Linked DNA regions of Cricetulus griseus. The protein of the gene in region 1 binds, or shares a complex with, the protein of each later gene. Links are inferred from orthologs where the notes say so. Each region holds a gene or a part of one and is shown in the gene's direction. Other genes may lie near its edges.

Region 1 (3,500 bases):
TTCTGGGATATAATCCCAGCATCTAAGAGACCAAAGCAGGAACATTCCACCACCAGCTCTGGGCTCTTAGAAGACTTGCTCTCTTAAAGGGAGGGGACAGAGAAGAAGGGGTCTCTGGCACCCTTCATATGCATTGTGTTTGGCTTTGATGACTTTAATTTTTGACCCTTTCCTCAGAAATCCAGCTCTTCTACTACAACCAATGAGAAGATCACCAAGTTGTATGAGCTGGGTGGCGAGCCAGAGAGGAAGATGTGGGTGGACCGATACCTGGCCTTCACAGAGGAGAAGGCCATGGGTATGACGAACCTGCCCGCTGTGGGCAGGAAGCCTCTGGACCTCTATCGCCTCTATGTGTCTGTGAAGGAGATTGGTGGACTGACTCAGGTAAGCACTGTCCACTGGCTTCTGATGGGATCATGCATCCCACAGGCTGAAACATGTGAGCCTAACCAAGTTCTACAAACCATATGAGCTTTAATTCTCTTGATGGTAAAACAGGCACCACATGGAACCTTCCGCCCTGCCAAGTGTTAGAAATAATGAGTGGAAAGCTTCAGCAAGGGCCCCACCAAATTACTTGGTCTGTAAGTTGGCACTCCAGGCAGATTCATTCACCCTTTGAATTCAAGAAACGTCTTGGGGGAGGTAGAATTTCAGAGTAGTTATTGAGGAAGTAGAGCTGTGAAAACTTATATGTCTAATTATTTTATACTAGACATATAAGTATAAAATATGAGTATAAAAGTATACTTTTATATATGAGACAAAAGTATAAAAAGACTTGAGAATGGTTCAGTCGTGTTGTGTACTTGCAGGTTTATTTGCATTCGGCTAGAGACACTGGTGAGGCTACACTCACTGACTGATAGTGTACCCTTACATACTTTTCTTCAGAGGAGTTGTCTCTATTGTCCAGACCAGAAATTCCTGGGTGGGGATGGGAGAGCCTGTGAAAGGGAGAGGTGTATTCCATACCTAAATCAGAAAAGGAACACAGGTGTCACTAGGGGGAAAGAAGCCGGCTAACAGTCAGTTATGAATTCCTTCTCCCTTAAGGCTTCGGTCACCTCCCCCACACCCTCCCCAAAGGCATATGCAAACTGCCATATAACTGAAGTGGGGAGCAAACCTGCTTGGGGCTGCTGAGGTGATACAGGATGCATTCCTCCTCCTAACTCTTAGGCCTAGTGTGCTGCTTATGGTAAGGAGGGTTGGTTGCTTACTTAGTAACTTTGCCTTTCTTCTGACTATTGGACCCCCGAACTCACTGAACACAGGACAAGCTGTAGAAGGAATCTCTGATCCTAAGCTTGTATTCCAATTTGAAAAGAAAATTTGTTTTGTTTTTTCAAGACAGTTTCAGGGTTTCCCTGTAGCTTTGTTTGAAGCCTGTCCTGAAATTCACTCTGTAGACCAGGCTGGCCTTTAACTCAGAGAGATCTGCCTGCTTCTGCCTCTCTCAAGTTGCTGGGATTAAAGCCATGCACCACCACCAACTGGCTGAAAGGGGAATTTTTTAGTTGCTGTTAAGTAATTAACTAATTGTATTCTAAAATCAATGAGAACTGTCTTTAAGTGAAGAGCTGAGAAAGGCAAGACTGAGCCCTGAGCTCTTCTGACTGATCAGTGAAGGGGGCCATCCCAGTAGACTCAACCAGGTGACGTGGGTGGGTGAGGGTGGATGTGCAGAATTACACCAGACAGCCTAGATGTCTGTTACACTCACCATAACCACCTCAGGAAGGATTATTGTTGGTTACCTCCCTTCAGTCTCCTCTCTGTTTCCCTAAACAGCTAGCATTGATATCATAACCCAATGGTCTTTCTTTGGATCGGACTTCAATATCAGTGTTCTTAGCACTAGATAGATTAAGTTTGCCATCATGTTTAAGAATAATCAGTGGAAACCTGTCCAGGCAGCACAGGTCAAATTAGAAGGAACACTTGGGAAATGGATTTGGTCAATGTACGCTGGGGCTGGAGATAGGGGCAGAACTGTGAACCAACCGACTTTAGTTGTCACCCTTACACTGAAGGAAGGCAGCCATGTAAAAACCTTAGCCTGACAGAGTCAATGAGGGGGTGAGGGTTGGAGATAAAGACCATATGCTGAATTCTGTTCCGGTATTGATGCCCTGTTCTTTTGTTGGTTTTTTATATTTTTTGTTTTGTTGTTTGAGACAGGGTTTCTCTGTATTGCTTTGGAGGTTGCTCTGGAACTCTGCAGACCATATTGTCCTCAAACTCACAGAGATCTGCCTGCCTCTACCTCCCGAGTTTTAGTATTAAAGGCATGCGCCACCAATGTCCCTGATTGCCTTTTGAATAAGCAGTGTACCTGCAGTTACTTGGAACTATATGTTTCTTGCAGCAACCAGCTTGGGCTCATAGCTTGTGCGTTGGAAGGCCAGGTCAGAGTATACTTTGACTCTTCTGGTGGTCTTACAGGTCAACAAGAACAAGAAATGGCGGGAACTTGCAACCAACCTCAATGTGGGTACATCAAGCAGTGCAGCCAGCTCCCTGAAGAAGCAATACATCCAGTGTCTCTACGCCTTTGAGTGCAAGATCGAACGGGGAGAAGACCCTCCCCCAGACATTTTTGCAGCTGCTGATTCCAAGAAGTCCCAGCCCAAGATCCAGCCTCCCTCTCCTGGTAAGAGTGGACAAGCACCCCCAAGGATGGTATCCTTAAGAGCCTGCAGGGTTCCTTAAGCAGTGGTGCCTCCCTCCCTCCCTCCAGGGAGCAGAGCAGTTGCCAGAGATGTGTGTTTTACCCATCCACGTGGGTTAGCAGGTTGGCAGACTAAAGAGCAGCAGTGGCGACTCCCTTGGGAGGTGCTATGCAGAAGCCTTAAGTTTTCACTTTCTAATTTTCCTGTTGTACACCTGGCATCTTGCCAAATGTTTGTAAACTAGTGAGTGGGAGGGACACCAGAGTAGTGAGGGAAAACTGACAAATCGCAGTGTGGCTGGGCCATCTGGGAGCTTTGGCCTGCTGATGTCAGTGCCTTAGAATGCAGCTCAGAAAAAGAGCCCTAAATTCCCCAGAGAGCTGAGACAGTAATGAATGGAAGGGAGGGGTAGGAAGGGGATATGAATGGACTTTATGATGAGGTTATGCTTCTTCTGCCTAACCTCCTTTCTCAGAGGAGGTGGGGCCTAGGTTAGCATGGACCCCAGAAGGTAGATGTAAACACATTGTTGACCTCTGAGAGAGGAGTGTATTCCTGAGATGACTCATCAGCTGGAGAGGCCTCAGTAGTGGGAAACTAACTAATGAAAACATTAATTATTGGATATTCTGTGCTTGTCTCTTTAGAGGAACATTGGAACCTAAGGATGACATTGGACTGGGTGCTTAATAGAGAAAAAAAACATCTAGGCTCTGGCCATGTGGCTCCTCTGCATCCTAGATTTCAGTTTTTGCTCCACCATCATCGTGGTGCTTACCATTAGACAAGTTCCTTGGAAAGAAAAGCAAGGCAGTGAGGAAG
Region 2 (4,219 bases), on another chromosome or scaffold:
TCCCTCTTTTAATTCCGGGCAGGAAGTGAATCAGATGCCCTACCTACGCTGGGGAAGGGGTGGGTCAAGGTCTTGAATGACTTGGGGACATTTGTGGCAGGGAGTTAAGATTGGGGGTGTGTGTAGTTCAGGAAATCTTGAGTCTTAGCCCGGTGGGTGGAACACCCCCTGCTGGACAACGGGGTATTTGTATTAACACTTGATATGCTAATTTATGCAGCCACTCAAATCAGAGTGCTAAGTTATTCCCCAGAGGGTGTGTGTGTGTGTGTGTGTGTGTGTGTGTGTGTGAGAGAGAGAGAGAGAGAGAGAGAGAGAGAGAGAGAGAGAGAGAGAGAGAGAGAGGGAGAGAGAGAGACTCGGTAGGTCAGCTCTTCGCTGGGGTTCTGTTAGGAGGATAGGGTGTGTGGATGCCGAGGGAGAAGAGTGGAAGGGACCAGGTGAATGAATCTTTCGTCTTTCAGTGCTACCTTCAGACAGCAGTCAGGGGCAGAGAACAGGTAAGGTTTCTCCTCCAGATCTCAAAGTCCTCGTCTGGAAAATAAGGACAGTAATAGTTTAGTCTGGGGAGAGCTGTGTTAAGCAAATGTTAAGTAACCACTCAACGTATATTTGTTGGACACCTACTAGGGCGGGCAGGCATTATTCTTTCTAGAGCGGCGTAACCACTTTATGCCTTGGTACGTGTCAGATCCTCTTTGTAGATGTCTTCTCTGTGGAATAAATGGATTTATTAGTACTTGCCAGGTACTATTTCTTCATGTGGGACTGCGATTGAACCCATGGGCTCTCGATCACTTTCTTTTACCAGAACCACCCCCAAGCCCTGCTATGTATCTTTGAAAACACTTTACAGCGACTGGTGTGGTTTCACACACCTCAGGGAGGCAGAGGCAGGAGAACTATAGTTTGAGGCCAGCTTGAGCTGGACAGTAGGATTCTGTCACGAAAGCAGCCACTTACCCTGTCACTCATCTACTCTTCAGTCCGATGAGGTGTTATAACTATTTTCTAAAGGAGGAGACAGGCCCAGAAAGGTTAAGTCATGTGCCCGAGGTCCTATCAGCGAGGATCTGAGCCCGGGAAGGATGACGACAGTCCTGTAGTCCTGCGGAGGAGTGGACCCGGGTGACCGACCGCGACAGTCAGCCCTGGGACACGATGGGTGCTCCAGAGTTTGGAGGGCATGGTGGGAGAGGTGGCGTCAACTCCGGCATGCTGGTGACACGGCTGGGTGGGCACTGGCGAGGTCTGGGCGCCTGTGGCGGGGCGTGAGTGAAGGTGGGGTGTGTGAGAGCCTGCGAGCCGAGCGTGGCTGTGTGTAAGCGGCCACGTGCGCGTGTGTGCGTGCATGCGTCTGTGCACGTGGGACCGGGGACTGCGTGATCCTCCATCCCCCGGTGCCCCGGGTTAGAGGACCCGCGGGGGGACTACCACTCCCGGCATGGCCCGGGCGCCCCGCCCCGCCGTCCTGATTGGCTGAGATCCGCGTGCTCCCGCCCCCCGGGAATGAATGGATGGGCGGCCTCAGCGCCCGCCCGACCGCTGGGAGGACCGACCCGGCAGGGACCTGCTGGGGGCAGGACCCGGGGAGCAAGATGGCCACGGTCATCCCCGGCCCCCTGAGGTGGTGCGGGCGGGCGAGCGGGCGAGCGGGGCGAGTGGGAGGCGGGGGCGGGTCTGCGCGGCCGCGCGCGCGCGCGTGTGCGTGTCTCTGTGTGTGTGTGTGTGTGTGTGTGTGTGTGTGTGTGTGTGTGTGTGTGTGTGGCCGCTGGGGGTGGGGCCGGTGGGGTGTCAGGGGGCTGTCACCGTGTGCGAGCGAGCGAGCGGGGGTGCGAGCGTGTGTGACTGCGGGTGTCTGGCAAGGGTGATGTCCGGGGCGGGTGCAGGGCGTGGGGGAGGGGTCCCCCAGGGCTTCCAGGGGACGGGGGTCATGTCCCCTCCCGGGGATGCCACGGTCTGCAAGAGGGGGAAGCGGCGTAGGGAACCTGAGTACACGCGAGTCGAGCCCACGCTACCTTTGTCTTGGGGCGTGGAGTGTGTTGTGCGACTTGTGCGTTGCTTTTTTGTTTTGTTTTCTGGCCGGATGTGTGGGTATGTGCGTATGGTTGTCTCTTTTATTCTGCACGGTGCCCATCTGGGCATTCGGGTCCCCTCCGAGTGTGTGCGCGCGCGTCTGCTGAGGCTGCACCCTCGAGGCTGCGTCTTTGCACGGGGAGGTGTGAGGCTGGGTGCGAGCACGGGCGGACCTGGCTGTCCCTCCGTCTCCGAGGCGTGTACCTGTGCTTGGGAATGCGCTTCGAGTTTGGGGTCGCGTTTCCCCCCGGGTGTGAGCGTGCGCGCGTGTGACTGCGTGGTCTCTTTGTATCGTGTGTTTGACACCCCGTGTCTTTGGAGAGAGGTGTGTGGGCAAGCCGCTTTGGACACCGTGCGACTGTTGCGACGTTTGCGCGTAGTACGTTGCCACGCCGGGGGGCTTTGTGGACAATGTGTTTATCTTGGGGGTCTCTGGATGCGTGGCGTGCAGAGGTAGTTTTATGGCCTGTTTCTGACCCCAGTCTGTGTGTCTGTGTGTCTGTGTGTGTGTGAATGTGTTTGCTTCTCCTTTGTGAATTTTGGGATATGTTTCCCTTTGTGTGTGAATCCCGTGTGGCCATGTGCGATTTGTTTGTTTTGGGTGTTTGGCTACGTTCGTGTGTGCATGGGTCCCGCTGCTGCTGCTGCTGCTGCTGCTGCGTTTCGCTCTGTGAACACACTTCTTACTTAACCTGAGACATAATCAAGTTCCAGGTAGCGGCCTCCCAGCCAGCCAGCCAGCCAGCCAGCACCCCGCCCCGCCCCCGGGTCCCCAGGGATGGGAGGAGGAGGAGGGGGAGGGGGCCCTGGCTGGTTCGCCCTTTGCGGACCGGCGGCGGCGGGAACGGGAGGCCCGGGGCGTGGGGGGGGGGGTGGTGGTGGAGGGTGCTGGACCTCCCTGGCTGACAGCCGCTCGCCCGCTGCTCGCCCGCCCCCCTCAGCCTCGGCGAGGACTTCTACCGGGAGGCCATCGAGCACTGCCGCAGCTACAACGCGCGCCTGTGCGCCGAGCGCAGCCTGCGCCTGCCCTTTCTCGACTCGCAGACCGGCGTGGCCCAGAACAACTGCTACATCTGGATGGAGAAGACCCACCGCGGGCCTGGTACCCGCCGCGAGGCTGGGGCGGGGCGGGGCCTGCGTCCCGGGGCCGCACGCTCACTGCCGCCCTCCCTCCCTCTCCCTCCATCCCTCCCTCTCCTCCAGGTCTGGCCCCAGGACAGATCTACACTTACCCCGCCCGCTGTTGGAGGAAGAAACGGAGACTCAACATCCTGGAGGACCCCAGGCTGCGGCCCTGCGAGTACAAGATCGGTGGGTGGAGCTGTGGCCCCTGCGCCCGCTGTGGCCCCCATCGAAGTCCTCAGCCCCACTGCTGTCAGCCAGAATGTAGCCTTTATTTCCCCTGGGTGTCTCCACAACAGGCTATCTGTGTCGTCGTCGTCCCCCCCCTCCCCGTGTCTTGAGTTACTTCCTTTGAGTTTCTGAGCTTCCAGATGTACCTGCTGTGTGGGCCGTGGCGAGCAGGTGTACGGAGGACATCCTTTTATCTGTGTCTAGATAGATAACTGTGTGCGCTCCCCTGTGAGCCGGGGTACGCCCATGTCCCGCTGTGTTTCTTTCTGTGGGTGCTGGAGGGCATCTGGCTATCTCCCTGTGTGTTTGGATGACTTAGTAGTGTTTCTCAACCTGTGTTTTGGGGTTGCGTATCCGGTATCCTGTATACCAGGCATTTACATTACGATTCATAAGGGTAGCAAAATTAAAGTTATGAAGTAGCCACGAAATAATTTTGTGGTTGGGGGGTCATTACAACATGAGGAACTGTATTAAAGGGTCACAGCGTTGGGAAAGTTGAGAACCACTGAGTTGAGTGTCTCATTGTAACTGTTGCTGAGTGTTTTAGAATGCCTGTTTCTTTCTAGGTGTTTCCAAGTGTGTGTGTGTGTGTGTGTGTGTGTGTGTGTGTGTGTGTGTGCTGGGACTGTGTATATCTACCTCTTCTGGGGGTATATATGGTTCCACCAGAATGTCCTGCTGGGGTCCTGATGCTGAGAAATTGCTATGGAGATTTTCGGCTTGTTTCTGTGTTAGGTGCTTCTTGAGGTGTGTGCTAGTTCATAGACTGACTGGAGTTAGTGCTTTC
Region 3 (3,486 bases), about 270 Mb from region 1:
TACACAGAGGATGGAGAGCAGTCAATGGGGACATTTTATATGTTTGTTTAACTCCATGATATTTATTATTTTGTAGAGACATTTGTGATTGTTTAGATATTGTTTTTATCATATTTATGTATAAGGTTGACTTTTTTAAAAAAATAAATAAGCCAAAAATTGTTTTTGAATGCCTCTGTCATCTTTTGCAAAGAAAATATTTTTAAAAAAGTAAAAGCAAATTATTATTTAGGTTTGACAAGGTACGAAAGTGGCAGTGGAACATTTAAAGTGAGACTGCTTTATAAAAGTTTGAGTTTAGATCTCTATGGTGCATCAGGAAAGAGATGCAATGCGTTTGACTGTGTTAGATTATTGCCCTGCTACCATCTTTGTCCCTCCCACCTTTTAACCATTTATTGACGCACACCTATATATAGTACATGTGAGCAGCGTCCGTGACGGTCAAGATTATGATGCTCTGTTATCCCTTCCTTGCCCTGGCATTGTAAGTGTAGGAAACTCCTTATATTTTATCCCATTCCATGTTTAAAGCCCAAATACTGTGTGTGTTTTTAATGTGAAAGATAATACTCAAAATATGCTTTGTATATTTCCTATTTGACTATAGTTTTTCCATGCCCAAAAACTTTTTATGTTTTACACGTCACAGTGACTGCTTCTCTCTTTTATCATAGTTCTTTTTAGACATGGAACAAGACTATGCATCCAACTCAGATTTCTATAGACATTTATGCATGACAATGTATGGACAAGACAGCTTCCAATTAAAATACTGAAATAGTGTCTTTTTTTTTTTTAGCTTAGATTTTGTAGGCTTAGCTCTATCACTGGAAAAACACCAGTTTTTGAAATAAAATGAACATAAGCTTAATATAAGCTTAAAACTTAGGCTTAGCTTTATGTGTGGTTATTTGGTATATGGATTTTCTTTCCCAACTATTAGTGGCATTTGACATCCTATTTCATTTTTCCTTCTGGTCTTTTTTTATAGAGATGATGCTGTGTGTGTAGGGAGCAGAGTGCTACATTTAGGCAACACACGTTGATGCGGTTTATGGAGTACAGTCTAGGCTTTCATTAGTTGGGGGTTTTATATTCTGATCCATCTCATATCCAGTTATGTCTTACAAAAAGGTTTTCATTATCAGATTACCAAAAGTAAAGATAAGGTAATAACAGAATCCCTTTTGAACCCATAGTGAGTTCTTCTGGCATGAATTTATAGCCCTCTTCTACCCTTCCAGCCAAAGGTCATTCCAAATGCTCTATGTGGAATTTGTCTGAAGGGTAAGGAATCCAACAAGAAAGGAAAGGCTGAATCACTTATACACTGCTCCCAGTGTGATAACAGTGGTAAGTAGAGATGTCTCCTTAAGATTTTACCTCACCCCTGCATATTGCCTTAAAAGCTAGGGTTTGTAGTTATCAGCTAGGTATCCACCAAAGAGTCAGCAAATGAATAGTGACTTGTTAGCTGTAGTCAGAACCCATGTATCTGCTACTTTGTATTTTGATGTGTCTATGGTAACATTAATCCTGGCAGCCATTCTTGGGAACTAATGTTTTATGTGCCTTAAGTTGAAAGTTCTGTTGTGAAATCCTATTAATGTTGGTTTTGATTTAGGCCACCCTTCTTGCTTGGATATGACCATGGAGCTTGTTTCTATAATTAAGACCTACCCATGGCAGTGTATGGAATGTAAGACATGCATTATATGTGGACAGCCCCACCATGAAGAAGAAATGATGTTCTGTGATGTGTGTGACAGAGGTTATCATACTTTTTGTGTGGGCCTTGGTGCTATTCCATCAGGTAAAGATGAAAAAAATACAAAAAAGCCCATTATCTTGTGTGATGAAGATCTCCCAGCATTCTTTTAAGGCTGTATAAATGACATGAACATGTTCCAATTATGATCAAGCTGTTACTGTCCATGTCACAGCTACCTGATTTTCATCCTTAGTGCAACCAAAGGAGAATTGAAATAGAATACTTAGGTTAGGTTTGGAAGTATTGTCTGAGGGATAGAATGAGCTGGTGTTTTCTACTAAAATTGCTAAAGTAACACCACCAGTTTGTTTCAATGCTTTCATTTTATTTTTAAGTTCGTCTATTTAGAAACTTAACAAAGTGACTGCTATGCCTTTATATATATACTAAGACATCTTCCTATAAAGTGAGGCAGCATGACAATTCCAGAAAACTTTAGGATGGACACAGAATCAAATAGTAAATCACAGTAATCCTATTGAAACATTATACAGGTAATTGTGCAATTTTAAGGACTTAAGTTGCATAGTTAACACTGTATAGTTCTCTATAAAACTCAGTTTCCTGGAATCCCTCCGTAAGGATGTGAATAATCACTCAGGTTCTGCAGTAATTCAGCTCAAGTGTGTGGTGCAGGTGCTAGTGTCAGAACAGTGGAACAGGCCACACAAAGCCAGATCCATTAACAAGTTCTACATTAGGATTGTGTTGTTGAGGTTTTAAAAGCATGATGGTATTTGAATTTTAGGATTACATATTTTTTTAAGGTACAAATGATTGTTTTGTGCCCTTTCCCCATCTTGTCTGTGCATTGAATTCCGAATTGTATTGGTTACACTGATTAAGGGTTGTTTACATTTTCTCCCTTGGCTTAAGGAGCTCAGTACTTCCCTCCCCACTGAAAAAAATCCCAGAGAGTTATCACTATGGACAGCTCAGGAATGAGTTTAGGTGGTTTGTACTCAGTCCTATAAAAATAAAATTCCACTCCATATTAACTAACAATTTTTCTCCTAGGTCGCTGGATTTGTGACTGTTGTCAGCGAGCTCCCCCAACACCCAGGAAAGTGGGCAGAAGGGGAAAAAACAGCAAAGAGGGATAAAATAGGTTTTTGACCTGACCCTCAGTTTGGGATATCTGGTGCCATTTTATTTACACTTTCATTTTTATGCCAATAAAGAACCTTTTTTGAAATTAACTATGACCTTAAACATCTTCAAGTTGATTTATTTCATTAGTAGCAACTCATACCCTTGAAAGAAAAAGTCAGAGAGAAATGTCTCATTTCCCAGATTTTAATCTCTTAGTGCTGTCTTTTTCCAGAGATCAGCAGAAAGAGGTAGCAACTTAATTTGAAATATTTCTTCTTGAGTCTGAAAAGTTACAGTCTTTTGAGACTGTCTTGACCTGCTTAGGTAGTATCAGTTACTTAATAACCAGAGCACTCCAATCTGGCCAACAGAGGAAAGGACAGAGGGCCCAACCATCTGGTACAACTGGATTTGGAATAGTCACCAGCTGGCACAGCAACAATGTGTAAATGCTTGCCTGCCAGGAGAGTATCAGGTTCCACAATCCCTACTGTGCACAGTGGCTCTGGGAAGCTTTTCCGACCTGGCTTTAGAACCTCTTTAAAACTGCAAGTGCCGTACTCCATTTAGTATGTCTACAGAATACATTCTACAGTCACCAGCCTTTATCTGAGTTATAC
Region 4 (3,500 bases), on another chromosome or scaffold:
TGGTGCTTCCCTCAGGAAAACTGTCATCAGTACAAGTGTATGCCCCTCCATCACATTGGGCTACTTGATCCAGAGAGTGTTCACTGCTTCCTCCCTGACACAAGCTTCTGAAGGGACTGTGAGTCTACCTTGGCATCCATCTGCTGTAGTTCCTTGTATGATCCTGTGTGAAGAAGAGTTGTTTAAACATTTTAAGTGCAAGGTCATAATGTTTTCTCAGCATAACTTAATTAGCAAGTTAACTTGACTGTACCGTGTGTATGTGTGTGTGTATACACATATGTATACTTATGTTACATATGATTGATGCTGTCATTTAAACCCAGCATTGCATTATGATAGTGATAATCCATGTTCTCACCTCATTCTTCTTTTGTGCTTAAATGAGAATCTAAAGCTGGGACTTGGGTGCACTGCTTCCATGCTTAGAAAATGCATTGTCCATCTTCCAGGCAGCCAGCTTCCAGGGAGCTGCCTTCTCAAAGTGCCCACAGTGCAGAGTTTCTGTGTGCTGCCTGGGGCCTTTCTTTGCCAGGAAGAGAAATGTCCTTCTGGAGGCCAGCCGAGTGGCCTTGGCTCCCTGGTCACAGGCTTCCTGCATCAGGGATGGCACCCTGGGGCAGGCTGTTCATGATCCAGAAAGAGGTTTCTGATGATCAGTGGTCTGTGTGCCAGCTCAGCCTTCTGGTTTGTCTTTAATCCTCGAATTGGTTTTTTTGTTCTTGGAGTGGTTGGAATAGATTTTGGTTTGGGTTTTCTTCATTTATAATAATTCTAGAATGTCATCTACTGTGAAATGTTAAGTATGGATGAGCAACAAAGCTGCTTCAAATCCCACCAGTGCGCTATAGCCCATCCTTTCTAAATCTGATTAACACCGAGCACCTGCCAAGCAGCAGGGGCGATTACAGGCTCATCTTTTAAATTCCTTTTGCGTTGGTGCCTCCCCCACTTTGCTACTGTGGGAAACTCAGCATACAGCATGGAGAAGTTAAGAAGTCACAGCCTCACTTGAGTTGTATTAGTATTAATTACCTGTGCAGATCTTGGATAATTGAAACAATTACTCTTCATTTCAGCTCCAGGGCCTGGAATGGATGGTTTCCCTGTATAATAACAATTTGAATGGAATCTTAGCTGATGAAATGGGGCTAGGCAAGACCATCCAGACCATTGCACTCATCACATATCTGATGGAGCACAAAAGACTCAATGGCCCCTATCTCATCATTGTTCCCCTCTCGTAAGTACAGTAATTTATTCCACAGTCATCACTCTCTATGTTGGAGATTGCCCTATCAGTGGCTCGCCCTTGTTTCCCATTTCAGATAGAAAAGTAGTATCGTTTTGGAATACCAGGAATACATAATCTGAATATTGGTTTTAATTTTCCACCCAAGCCCACCCATCCCACTGCAGCCTTTTGGCTGGCTAGTAAAGTACGTCTATGTAGTCATTCTTATTGGCCATTAACATTTTACACCCTGTAGAGCAATCTCAACCTTCCTCGTGCTAAGACCCTTTAATACCCTTTAGACCCTCATGCTGTGGTGACCCCCCCACACCATAAAGTTATTTCATTGCTACTTTGGAACTGTAATTTTGCTATTAGGAATGGTGGTGATATGCTGGATATCTGATTATGTGACCCCATTGCCCAAAGGGCTCATGACCCAGAGGTTGAGAACGGCTGATGTAGAATGGGTCCGAGTAAGTAGCTTTTTGAAGGGAAAAGTGAGAGCATTTTTAGAGCTATTTTCCTTGATGTACTTACACTTGTACACCTTCCTTATTGTATCTTTAAAATCATTGCTGTGATCTCTGCATCAAAGTAAACTTTGTATGTACACATGGCGTTTCAATGGCTCGTTGCTCCAGAAGGACAGTCTTTGCTGTTTCTAGCACAGCCCCAAGTCCTCGCCCACTGGTGGCTCCGGCTGGTCTTTACCCAACAATCTTTGAGCCACCCTCCCTGGGAGTGAAGTGCTTCTATGCATGCGTGTCAGGGTGACACTTTACTCACTGAGATCTTGTCATGGATTGCAGTCCTGAGACAACTCAGACCTTCAGGAAGAACAAGGCTGTTGATTTTGTATTTCCTTCCATTTTTTTTTTTTTCAAAAGAAGGCTCTGACTTATCTGCCTCCATAATATTTACATGCCCTTTGCATTAGACCTATATTTGCATGGTCTGACTTGGATATTTTGGTTACACTTTTGGGGTTTAAAAAAAATCATTCAGTATCTCTTGCTTCTTTTTGATAGACCTACTTACTGTTTCTTATGGTTTTGTAATTTCTCTTCCCCATATGAAGTTCTTGGAGCTTACGTGGCTAGTTGTGACAAACCCAAAGCATCAGTGATTGTTGGTTTTCAGAAGCACAGGAAAACTCTGGTGTTTTGTACCACACATAGTTGTCCAGTTTTGAATTGTTTTTTTATGAGTTTTGAAATGTAGAATTAACACATTTTGTGGCACTTCATTTCCAGCTTACCTCCTATCTCCATACCTTTAGCATAAATATGTATCTGGGGTATTTTGTATTTTTTAGCCCAGTTTAAGGCAAGGGCTAAAAATAAGTAACAGTTTTCTATTAACTGAATTTATATACATGGGTATGTGTGTGTTTACTGTGTTTTTTGTTGTTGTTTTGTAGGACTCTGTCTAACTGGACATATGAATTTGACAAATGGGCTCCTTCTGTGGTGAAAATTTCTTACAAGGTTTGGAGCTTTAATATTTATATATAAATGTGGAAAAGCAAAAAAAAAAATTGGGCCCTCTTTTCTTCATTCTATATGCACATCTGTGAACTGTATTTGGTTGTAAAGTTTTGTCATGTACATCATGTACTAAACAGTGAGAGTTAATCATCCCAAGAAGATTACTGTAATAAACCATAATTACTTTCAGATAGTGAAATGCAGAAGAAAATTGTTAATTATCATATTGCGAGGTTTCTGATGAGAGTAATACAAATGACAAATACCGCACTTTCTGTGTGCTACTGACTGCCTCACTGTGGGCTGCTACTGTGCCGAATGTTCCTGCAAAGTCAGGCAATTACTGGGGCGCTGGGGCTGCCTGCTGCACGCTCCCACAGAAAGGGAGCTTTTCAGCCAAGCAACGGGTTCCCTGCTACTGCAAGCTTGCTGCAATTTCCTTCTCTCTTCTCCTTTTTCGGCCTTAAGTGGGAAGCCTTCCTGAAAGGATCTGGAAAGGGTCAAGATATGTGTGGTTTAGCTACCACTTTCTTCAGGGATAATAGAGCAGTATATGGTAATACATTTATGTGCATGTCACCTGTCTAGGTTCCATTAAGCTCTGAACAGTGAGAAATAGCACCTATGTACTTCCAGTGGGTAATCAATGTATTTTTCTTTCCATTCAGGGTACCCCTGCCATGCGACGCTCCCTTGTTCCCCAGCTACGGAGTGGCAAATTCAATGTCCTCCTGACTACTTATGAATACATTATAAAAGACAAGCACATTCTTGCA
Region 5 (3,500 bases), on another chromosome or scaffold:
TCATTTCATGGATAGCCCTCGATGAACACCTTTTCAGAGGCATCTGCTGTCATATACCCTGGACTTCCTTTCCCAGGACCTCCACTTGCCATCTAACCACCAATGACTTTCAAATCCATATCTTGGACCCAGACCTCTGTCCTGATCTCCAGCCTCCAGGACATCCATCCCTGGTGACCCTGGATCTATAGTTGAGGCTGTCCTCTCTCTTTTCTACCCTCATGGCCACTTTTCTGACCATGTCTCAGTGGCTAACTATGCCATAGCCCAGGCAATGGCACCAGTCAGTGACTATTTCCTCATCGCACTGCCACAGCCTTACTCCAAGCCTTCACCAGTGTGACTGTCTTCTATTTCGAGAACCAACCACTCTCTTGCTCCAGTCTCCAGCTAGGGAAGAGGCTTTTCTTAGCATCTACATTAAATCCTGAAGGAGTTTGAAGATGCAATGGATGTTACCACCCAGTACAGCTGTTGCCCATTGCACAGATGGAAGAGTGGAAATTCAATACATGTATTAGGTCATTGCCATGGGGTGGAGGGTCAGAGAAATCCGTAAGATCACTGGCCATGAGAGACCAGGACAAGGAATTTCTGTGAACTTGAATGTAAGGTAGCTATCAGGGAAGACTTCTAAAATAGTGAGTTAAGAAGAGCCCCGAGGTGGTGAAGGATTTATATGGTTGGGAGAAAGAGGGTGATTTTCAGGTGTTAATAAAATATAAGCCGCATTTAAGGGACAGCGAGGACTCCAAATGGGGCCTAGAAAGTTATCTATGGAAATAAGAGTAGAGGAATAAGTGGGGGGAAGACACTGTCCTGGAGTAATTGTATCTCTCTTCCCCACTTTACCCCTTTTGTATCTGCCAGGACCAGCTACTCTTCTGCGATGACTGTGACCGTGGTTATCACATGTACTGTTTAAATCCCCCAGTGGCTGAACCCCCGGAAGGTAATGACGATGAACTCAACAATAACAACAACAACTACCACGCCTACCCCTTATTGGTCTCTTACTATGGTGCAGGCCTTGTGCTAAGGGGGTTTTCATGTTTTGCCTCATTTCATTATCACAGTCCTATGAGGTTAGGTAGAGCTACTCACAGAGGACCAATGACGAGACTGAGGCATAGCGCAACCAGATGACATTCTAACCAACGGTTCAAGGAGATATTTCTCAGATGTGTGGCTGCAATAGCGGGGAGGTGTGAGTTTCCAAGGGAACTGGCACAGGTGTACCAAGGCTGGCTAAGAGGTGTGACAAAGCGGTGGGACTCTTTATATAGTTCCTCTGTTACCTCTGAGCACCCACTTTACACTGAGCAATGGACTTCACAAACCTTCAGGGCTGAGACTTGGTCTCTGATTTGTGGAAATCAAAGGCAAATAGGAGTCACCAGACATTAATGCCTTTAGGCTGGGGCCCAACAGTTAGAAAGGCTGCTACTAATGCTATATTGTCTCTTATAGGAAGCTGGAGCTGCCATTTATGCTGGGAGCTACTCAAAGAGAAAGCCTCAGCCTTTGGCTGTCAGGCCTAGGGCCTCAGGTCACTGAGTGTGACCAGCCACCAGAGAGGCTGAACTGGAGCCCTGTTGGATCCAGATGGAGTTCTCCTCCTGCATATCCACACAGACCAACTGTAAGGAAAATGAATAGTTATGGAAGGACATGAACTCGTGGAACCAAGGGGGCAAAGTCTCTACTCACCTACTGCCTATGACCGCCAGCCCCACACGTGGTACTTCAGCCTGTCCTTCCTCTTTCTACCAGAAGGAGCTTGTGCTTCTGAAGAACAATCCAGCCCCAGCCCTGTGTAAACTTCCTCACATTCGCCCTCACAGTACATGCCTCTCCTTGCTTCCTATTTTAGAGGAAGCCATTTTTTGACTGCTCACCAATCTCTTGTGTGTTATTTGGTGGTGTTGTTTTTTAATCTATTGTGTTTCAAGATCCCTTCACAGTCTCTTCACCTTTAGCTTAGGCTCTTCATCCTAAACTCTCACAGAGGAACAAGACGCTGTGGAGAAGTTGTTATTTTGCTACAAATTTCACCGGAAATGGCTACATTTGGAGGCCATCTTGAAGACGGAAGGTGGAAACCTCTTGGTTAAAGAGATTTGTAGTTTTTGAACCTGAGCAGTGGTATGAATAGCTGGCATGGTCTCCATCCACTGCACCACCACCTGAGGAGGGGTTGAGAGGGCCCGAGAGATGGGAGGGGAAGCTGGGAACCCAGCATAACCAGCCAGTATTTGCTGTTCATCAAGAGAGACTTTGCAAGGGACTCGGTGGTTCCTTGACCTTCAGACCTGTGGTGTCCTTGAGGTGAGACAAACCACAGCCTACAAACACAGAAAAGTGATGAAGATTCCCAGTGCCTCCCAAATGAATTGAGTGTCAAGGCCTGGCTCAATTTCTGCTGATGGGTCTCAAGCATCAGAGAGGTGGGCAAAGGCTGCCCATTCAATGGTCCAATGTTGGATAAAAGAGAGTGTTGGTTTGAGAAACACTTCAGTGTTAATGCTAACTATGAATTCCTTTCCCGGGCAATTTCCTCCTTCCATGTTTGCCAGTGACTACTGAGATGTGACTGGAAGTTTTAGAATGGAGGAGAGATGATCATTACTTAACTAGATCATTGAGCATGGTGATTACTTGTGACCAGGTGGCAATGATTCAGAACCCTCACCTGCTCTTGTACCTTAATCCTCCCCCCATATGAGCTGGACTCCTGTTTGAAATAAGAAAGTTTCCAGAGAAAGAGGTAGGGAGGCCTAGATTCCGAGAACTCTGTGAATCGGACGACAGCATTGTGGGCTGGAGTGGGTTGGGCTGTCTTTGAATCACAGCATGACAACTGACACATTTCTGGAAAAATCATTTGCCCAAAGGGCAGGTCTCAGTGAGCAGGACCCTCGCGCATGCTCGGCTTCCCTGAAATCAGCTCCATCGCTGTGGTCCAGCAGCTTGCAACAAAGGCCTGGGTTATTTTTAGTCTTCAGCTCCTGAAGAAGCCCCTGGAGACCTGGGCTAGTTGGGCCACTCTGCCCAGATGCAGCAGTGCCTCTACCCACACCACAGGAGTCATCCTCCCCCGGCTAATTGCTCTTGGCATGTGGACCCAGGGCAGCCTGGCATGGAGCCAAGCGGTGTGCACCCTAACCCCCACTCCTTTGCAGAGTGACCTGTGGCAAGAGAGTGGGGGTCATTCTCCTGCAGGCCTTGTGGCCTCAGAGCTAGTTAGATGCATACATAATGATCTCATTTAAAGGGCCCCTGTCCAGACAGTGTTTTTGCCTTCCTCACAAGCTCTCTCCTTCCTTCTGTTGGTTGCTGAGCCTGTGTGGATTCTAAAGGCCCAGGGAAGGGCAACTCCACAGAGAGGTACATTCCCTCTTCAGAATCTGCTGGCTTGCTCTTTCTTCCAACAACACCTTAAGCAGAATATCCTCAAAGACTAATTACTTGGTTGGGGATTCGTTTTAAATTAATTTTAG
Region 6 (4,126 bases), about 380 Mb from region 1:
GGTACCCACAGACAGAAGCGGAAGTCCTCATTCGGTGGCCTTTCTCTCCTCTGGGTGCCCAGTGCCCCTCCCTCACTTTGATAGCCAGGCCCACCACTTGTATTTTTTGGTGAGGCAGGGTTTGGTCATGTGAGGAAAGAGACAGGCCTAGAGGAGAAGTTGAGGGCTCTGCTGTTGTGTGTCCCTACCTTAAGGGACCACAAGTTGAAGAAGAGGGCCTCCCCACCCCTACCAGGCATTCTTCCCAGGCCAGAGCTCCAACCCTTTGCAGGACTTCTCTGACTGCACTGTCTGTCTCTTGGCCTCTAATCCCCAAAAAGGACTTGTGGACAGACCACCTGTGTGCGTTGGCCTGGAGCCAGAGAGTGGGGCTATAGCATCTCTGAGAACTCTTGGTTCTCTAGAGTTCTGTAGACAGCAGACTCCCCAGAAGGAAACAGGCACAAAGCTGAGAAGTATCCACTGGCTGGGGGACAGCAGGCGGGGCTCTGAGTGACGCATGCCTCTGGTCTAATAAACTGGGTTTCAACCATCTCCTCCTCAGTGTTGTTCTTTTTGGTTGAAGAGTTTATAAGGATTACCATTAGAATGCAGCCTGCCTTGAGGGCCATGTTGACTAGAGTAAGGAATTTGGGTAGTCCAGTGTGGTGGCTACACCTGTAATTCCAGCACTTAGGAGATGGAAGCAGGTATCTTTCATTACAGAGCGAGTGTACTACTAGGCTGGGCTACATGAGACCCTACATATTTGATCAGGTAAACACTGGTCCTCCTGGAAAAGGACAGGTTCAGGAATAGTTTGAATCACTGGGCAGTGAAAGAGCAATGAACAGCAACAGATTTCCAGGACCTTCGGAGAGGATTCATGGCCAAAATTCATTAATATCTGAAGGCAATGGTCTGAGATGAAGGGTGAAGTTCCCGCGTCGGAGAGTTATTGAGCCATTATCTGTGAAATGAAGCCGGGGCTACCAGCCAGGAGACCAGAATCTAGGATGGCTTTTCTTTTAATTTGCTGGTTTGTCTTTGCCAAGACATTTCCCTCCTTTGAGTTCAGCTTTTCCGTTTGTAAAACGAATAAACAGCACGTTTCTCTCTTTCGTACCCGGAGTTCGAGCAGTAGGAGAATGGAAAGCAAAGCAAACAGAATGCTTTGGAAAGGCAAAAGCACTGTGTTGAGATGACAGTGTCTCCAGCCTGCGGTGTGCGCTCGTCTCTTTCCAACGCCTTGTCGTCCTCCGCCCGCCTGGGGGCGCCCGCTCCCGTCACCTCTCTATCCGCACATCACTTCTCTATGGTGCCCCTCCTGTGCCGCGAAGGCGGGAGGGAGTGGTCAGCACGCCTTTTCCGCTAGTTGCCCCCTCTAGGCCTTAGTCTCGCTGCCCCGAGCCGCCCGTGCCCGCCGGCGGGCCGGGCCCACAAACAGCCCAGGCGCTCGGGGGGCGCGCGGGGGGCGGGGGGAGTTCCGGTTCCGGTTCTTTGTGCAGCTGCTGCGGCGGCTCCGGGAAGATGGCGGCCCGGGCGGGTTTCCAGTCTGTGGCTCCGAGCGGCGGCGCCGGAGCCTCGGGAGGGGCGGGCGTGGCGGCTGCTCTGGGCCCGGGCGGAACTCCCGGGCCTCCGGTGCGAATGGGCCCGGCGCCGGGTCAAGGGCTGTACCGCTCCCCGATGCCCGGGGCGGCCTATCCGGTGAGTGGGGCAGGAGGAGGGGCGCGTGGGCCGGGGGCGGGGCCGAGCGAGGGCGGAGAACTGACAGGGGTGAGGGAGAAGTGGGAGGGCCTCCCTTGGGAGGGGCTCGGGTCCTGGATGGAGGTGGGGGAAGCAATGCCGAGGAAGAGCGCGATTGGGGGAGGAGGTTAGCATCCTCACCTGCTCCCAGCGGCATTGTCTGCTTTTGAGGAGTGAGTGTGGAGCCAGGGTGGGTGAAGTGGGCCCGGAGGTGGGCAGCTCAGTGTCCAGAGGAACACTCAAGTTAGAGCTGCACGTTGAGGAGATAGTTAGCTGAGTAATAAAGTAAATGTAGAGATGTCTGGTGAGTCAGATCCCACATATTCCAGAAAATTTGAGTCTGATCTGGTTTTTAGACCCTATATTCTATGAAACCACTACCAGGCCTGAAGAAGGTCCAGTTACCGTATTTCAAAGAGGCAGAAAGAAGGCTGTGTGATTGTCCTCCACCCTACCTCCCCCACCCCCATCCTTGTTCATTCCAAAAATTCAGGCTTCCATCACTTTTCGTTTCTTGGTGGAGCTGTCAAGGAAAGGTATGACATCTCTGGGCCCTCTCCATTCTGTAGAGACCAGGCATGCTGCCAGGCAGCCGGATGACACCTCAGGGACCTTCCATGGGACCTCCTGGCTATGGGGGGAACCCTTCAGTCCGACCTGGCCTGGCCCAGTCAGGGATGGACCAGTCCCGCAAGAGACCTGCGCCTCAACAGATCCAGCAGGTCCAGCAGCAGGCGGTCCAAAATCGAAATCACAAGTAAGATGACGCCTGGGGTGAAGGAAAGAAGCTACTGGGAGACCTGTGAGGATTCAAGTGGTGGGAGTACTGAACCAGGAAGTGGTGGTGCTATGTCACCAAATGGTGCTGCAGAGACTCACCCTTGTGAAGGCTTCCTGGTGGAGGTGGAGAGGGAGTTGATGGTGATGAGAAAGCCGTTTTGCAGGCCTTAGCTGTGCCATCAACAAAGGTGCTGACAGCTTAGCTCATGTTCTGACAGTTCCATCCCACCCTGATAACAGTATTTATTCCGAACAGTGCAAAGAAAAAGAAGATGGCTGACAAAATCCTACCTCAAAGGGTGAGTGCAGGCTCTAGAGGTCTTCTTCTTGAAGATGTAGTGACTGAGAAAGTACAGGTGGTCAGCTCTAGGGCCCAATCGTATCTTTCTGTTCCTAAGATTCGGGAATTGGTACCAGAATCACAGGCCTATATGGATCTCCTGGCTTTTGAAAGGAAACTGGACCAGACTATTATGAGGAAACGGCTAGATATCCAGGAGGCTTTGAAACGTCCCATCAAGGTAACACAGGAAAGCACTGGGCAGTGGGTCAAGGGAGGGGACAGGAACCTTCTCCAGGCTTAGGATGAAAATTCAAAGGCACAGCATAGCCCTCCTTGGCATTTAAATTGCATCTTTCCCTTCCGCCTACAAACCAGGAATTACATTAGGAACATAAGAGTAGAGCAGCTGGCAGGGAAAGGGGCGGGGGAGCTTTTGATGTCTCTTGCACCAGAAATATACCCTGCCCATGTTTTTGCTATAACTACTTGCTACCTTGGGAACCTGCCACTTTGTATGGTTTTCTTCACCTGGTATCCCAGCATATTTATTTATGCTCAGGCTCAGGGCCTGTATTCTTCTAAGTGGAGTATTTATTCACCTATCATAAGCCAGCCTAGAAAACCTTTGTCTTTAACATCAAACTACTGAGGCTCCATCATCAATCCTGTTTCTGCCTTCCTCAGCAAAAACGGAAGCTGCGAATTTTCATTTCTAACACTTTCAATCCGGCTAAGTCAGATGCAGAGGATGGGGAAGGGACGGTGGCTTCCTGGGAGCTCCGGGTAGAAGGACGGCTCCTGGAGGATGTGAGTTGAAGGTCCACTGTGTTGGTGTTGTATTCAGGGTGGGAGCTCTTGGTGATGATCAATGTTGTATGGTCAGCAGGAAGCCTGACTGGTGCTTATAGGTCCTGCTGGGAGCTTCCGGAAGCAGAGGGGGGGTGGGGAGAGGGAGAAAGACCCTGTGTTCCCTGCACACAAAGACAATGGTCCTTTGTATCTGCTCCCACAGCTTCACTGGTATCAAATGGAAACCATTATTGTCCTGGGATCTGACTGGATGTTTACTCTGTCCTGGTGATGCTAGCCTTTGGATTTAGCAGCATCTGCAGATTACTTCTGTAGTCCCTCATCCCCACCTCCTGAGTCTATGCTTAGCATTTGAGGCCATGTTCCCTCTCTTAAGTCCTGGAAGTTATTTCTGTCTTCCCAGCTTTCATTGGAGATACCACAGTTTAAGTATGATAGAATTCTCCAAAGGCTTGGGCTCTTTGTTGCTCTAAGGGGAGTATCAGATCAGTGAGAGCCCCCACACTTCCCACCCAGCAGCTCCTTAGG

The links.
Region 2: Arid1a (region 1) and zinc finger protein neuro-d4 share a complex: the UniProt entries of both Homo sapiens proteins name them as parts of the neuron-specific chromatin remodeling complex. The link is inferred for Cricetulus griseus from reciprocal best matches to the Homo sapiens genes ARID1A and DPF1.
Region 3: Arid1a (region 1) and Phf10 share a complex: the UniProt entries of both Homo sapiens proteins name them as parts of the neural progenitors-specific chromatin remodeling complex. The link is inferred for Cricetulus griseus from reciprocal best matches to the Homo sapiens genes ARID1A and PHF10.
Region 4: Arid1a (region 1) and probable global transcription activator SNF2L2 share a complex: the UniProt entries of both Homo sapiens proteins name them as parts of the neuron-specific chromatin remodeling complex. The link is inferred for Cricetulus griseus from reciprocal best matches to the Homo sapiens genes ARID1A and SMARCA2.
Region 5: Arid1a (region 1) and Dpf3 share a complex: the UniProt entries of both Homo sapiens proteins name them as parts of the neuron-specific chromatin remodeling complex. The link is inferred for Cricetulus griseus from reciprocal best matches to the Homo sapiens genes ARID1A and DPF3.
Region 6: Arid1a (region 1) and Smarcd1 share a complex: the UniProt entries of both Homo sapiens proteins name them as parts of the neuron-specific chromatin remodeling complex. The link is inferred for Cricetulus griseus from reciprocal best matches to the Homo sapiens genes ARID1A and SMARCD1.

Annotation. Positions count from the first base shown.
Region 1 is NC_048595.1:19,582,495-19,585,994, forward strand, and holds part of Arid1a (AT-rich interactive domain-containing protein 1A), read left to right. Parts: intron 1-177; coding exon 178-387; intron 388-2,451; coding exon 2,452-2,659; intron 2,660-3,500. UniProt on the Homo sapiens protein: Involved in transcriptional activation and repression of select genes by chromatin remodeling (alteration of DNA-nucleosome topology).
Region 2 is NC_048602.1:6,521,092-6,525,310, reverse strand, and holds the start of zinc finger protein neuro-d4, read left to right. Parts: upstream 1-1,419; 5' UTR 1,420-1,517; coding exon 1,518-1,630; intron 1,631-1,929; exon of another isoform or gene 1,930-2,790; intron 2,791-3,017; coding exon 3,018-3,178; intron 3,179-3,279; coding exon 3,280-3,387; intron 3,388-4,219. UniProt on the Homo sapiens protein: May have an important role in developing neurons by participating in regulation of cell survival, possibly as a neurospecific transcription factor. Belongs to the neuron-specific chromatin remodeling complex (nBAF complex).
Region 3 is NC_048595.1:293,991,631-293,995,116, reverse strand, and holds the end of Phf10 (PHD finger protein 10), read left to right. Parts: intron 1-1,247; coding exon 1,248-1,356; intron 1,357-1,627; coding exon 1,628-1,816; intron 1,817-2,078; exon of another isoform or gene 2,079-2,791; coding exon 2,792-2,877; 3' UTR 2,878-2,986; downstream 2,987-3,486. UniProt on the Homo sapiens protein: Involved in transcription activity regulation by chromatin remodeling. Belongs to the neural progenitors-specific chromatin remodeling complex (npBAF complex) and is required for the proliferation of neural progenitors.
Region 4 is NC_048596.1:34,699,164-34,702,663, reverse strand, and holds part of probable global transcription activator SNF2L2, read left to right. Parts: intron 1-1,079; coding exon 1,080-1,243; intron 1,244-2,657; coding exon 2,658-2,724; intron 2,725-3,392; coding exon 3,393-3,500. UniProt on the Homo sapiens protein: ATPase involved in transcriptional activation and repression of select genes by chromatin remodeling (alteration of DNA-nucleosome topology).
Region 5 is NC_048598.1:120,509,408-120,512,907, forward strand, and holds part of Dpf3 (zinc finger protein DPF3), read left to right. Parts: intron 1-870; coding exon 871-952; intron 953-1,470; coding exon 1,471-1,541; 3' UTR 1,542-3,500. UniProt on the Homo sapiens protein: Belongs to the neuron-specific chromatin remodeling complex (nBAF complex).
Region 6 is NC_048595.1:396,140,286-396,144,411, forward strand, and holds the start of Smarcd1 (SWI/SNF-related matrix-associated actin-dependent regulator of chromatin subfamily D member 1), read left to right. Parts: upstream 1-1,326; 5' UTR 1,327-1,509; coding exon 1,510-1,686; intron 1,687-1,878; exon of another isoform or gene 1,879-1,898; intron 1,899-2,294; coding exon 2,295-2,482; intron 2,483-2,761; coding exon 2,762-2,804; intron 2,805-2,903; coding exon 2,904-3,026; intron 3,027-3,472; coding exon 3,473-3,595; intron 3,596-4,126. UniProt on the Homo sapiens protein: Involved in transcriptional activation and repression of select genes by chromatin remodeling (alteration of DNA-nucleosome topology).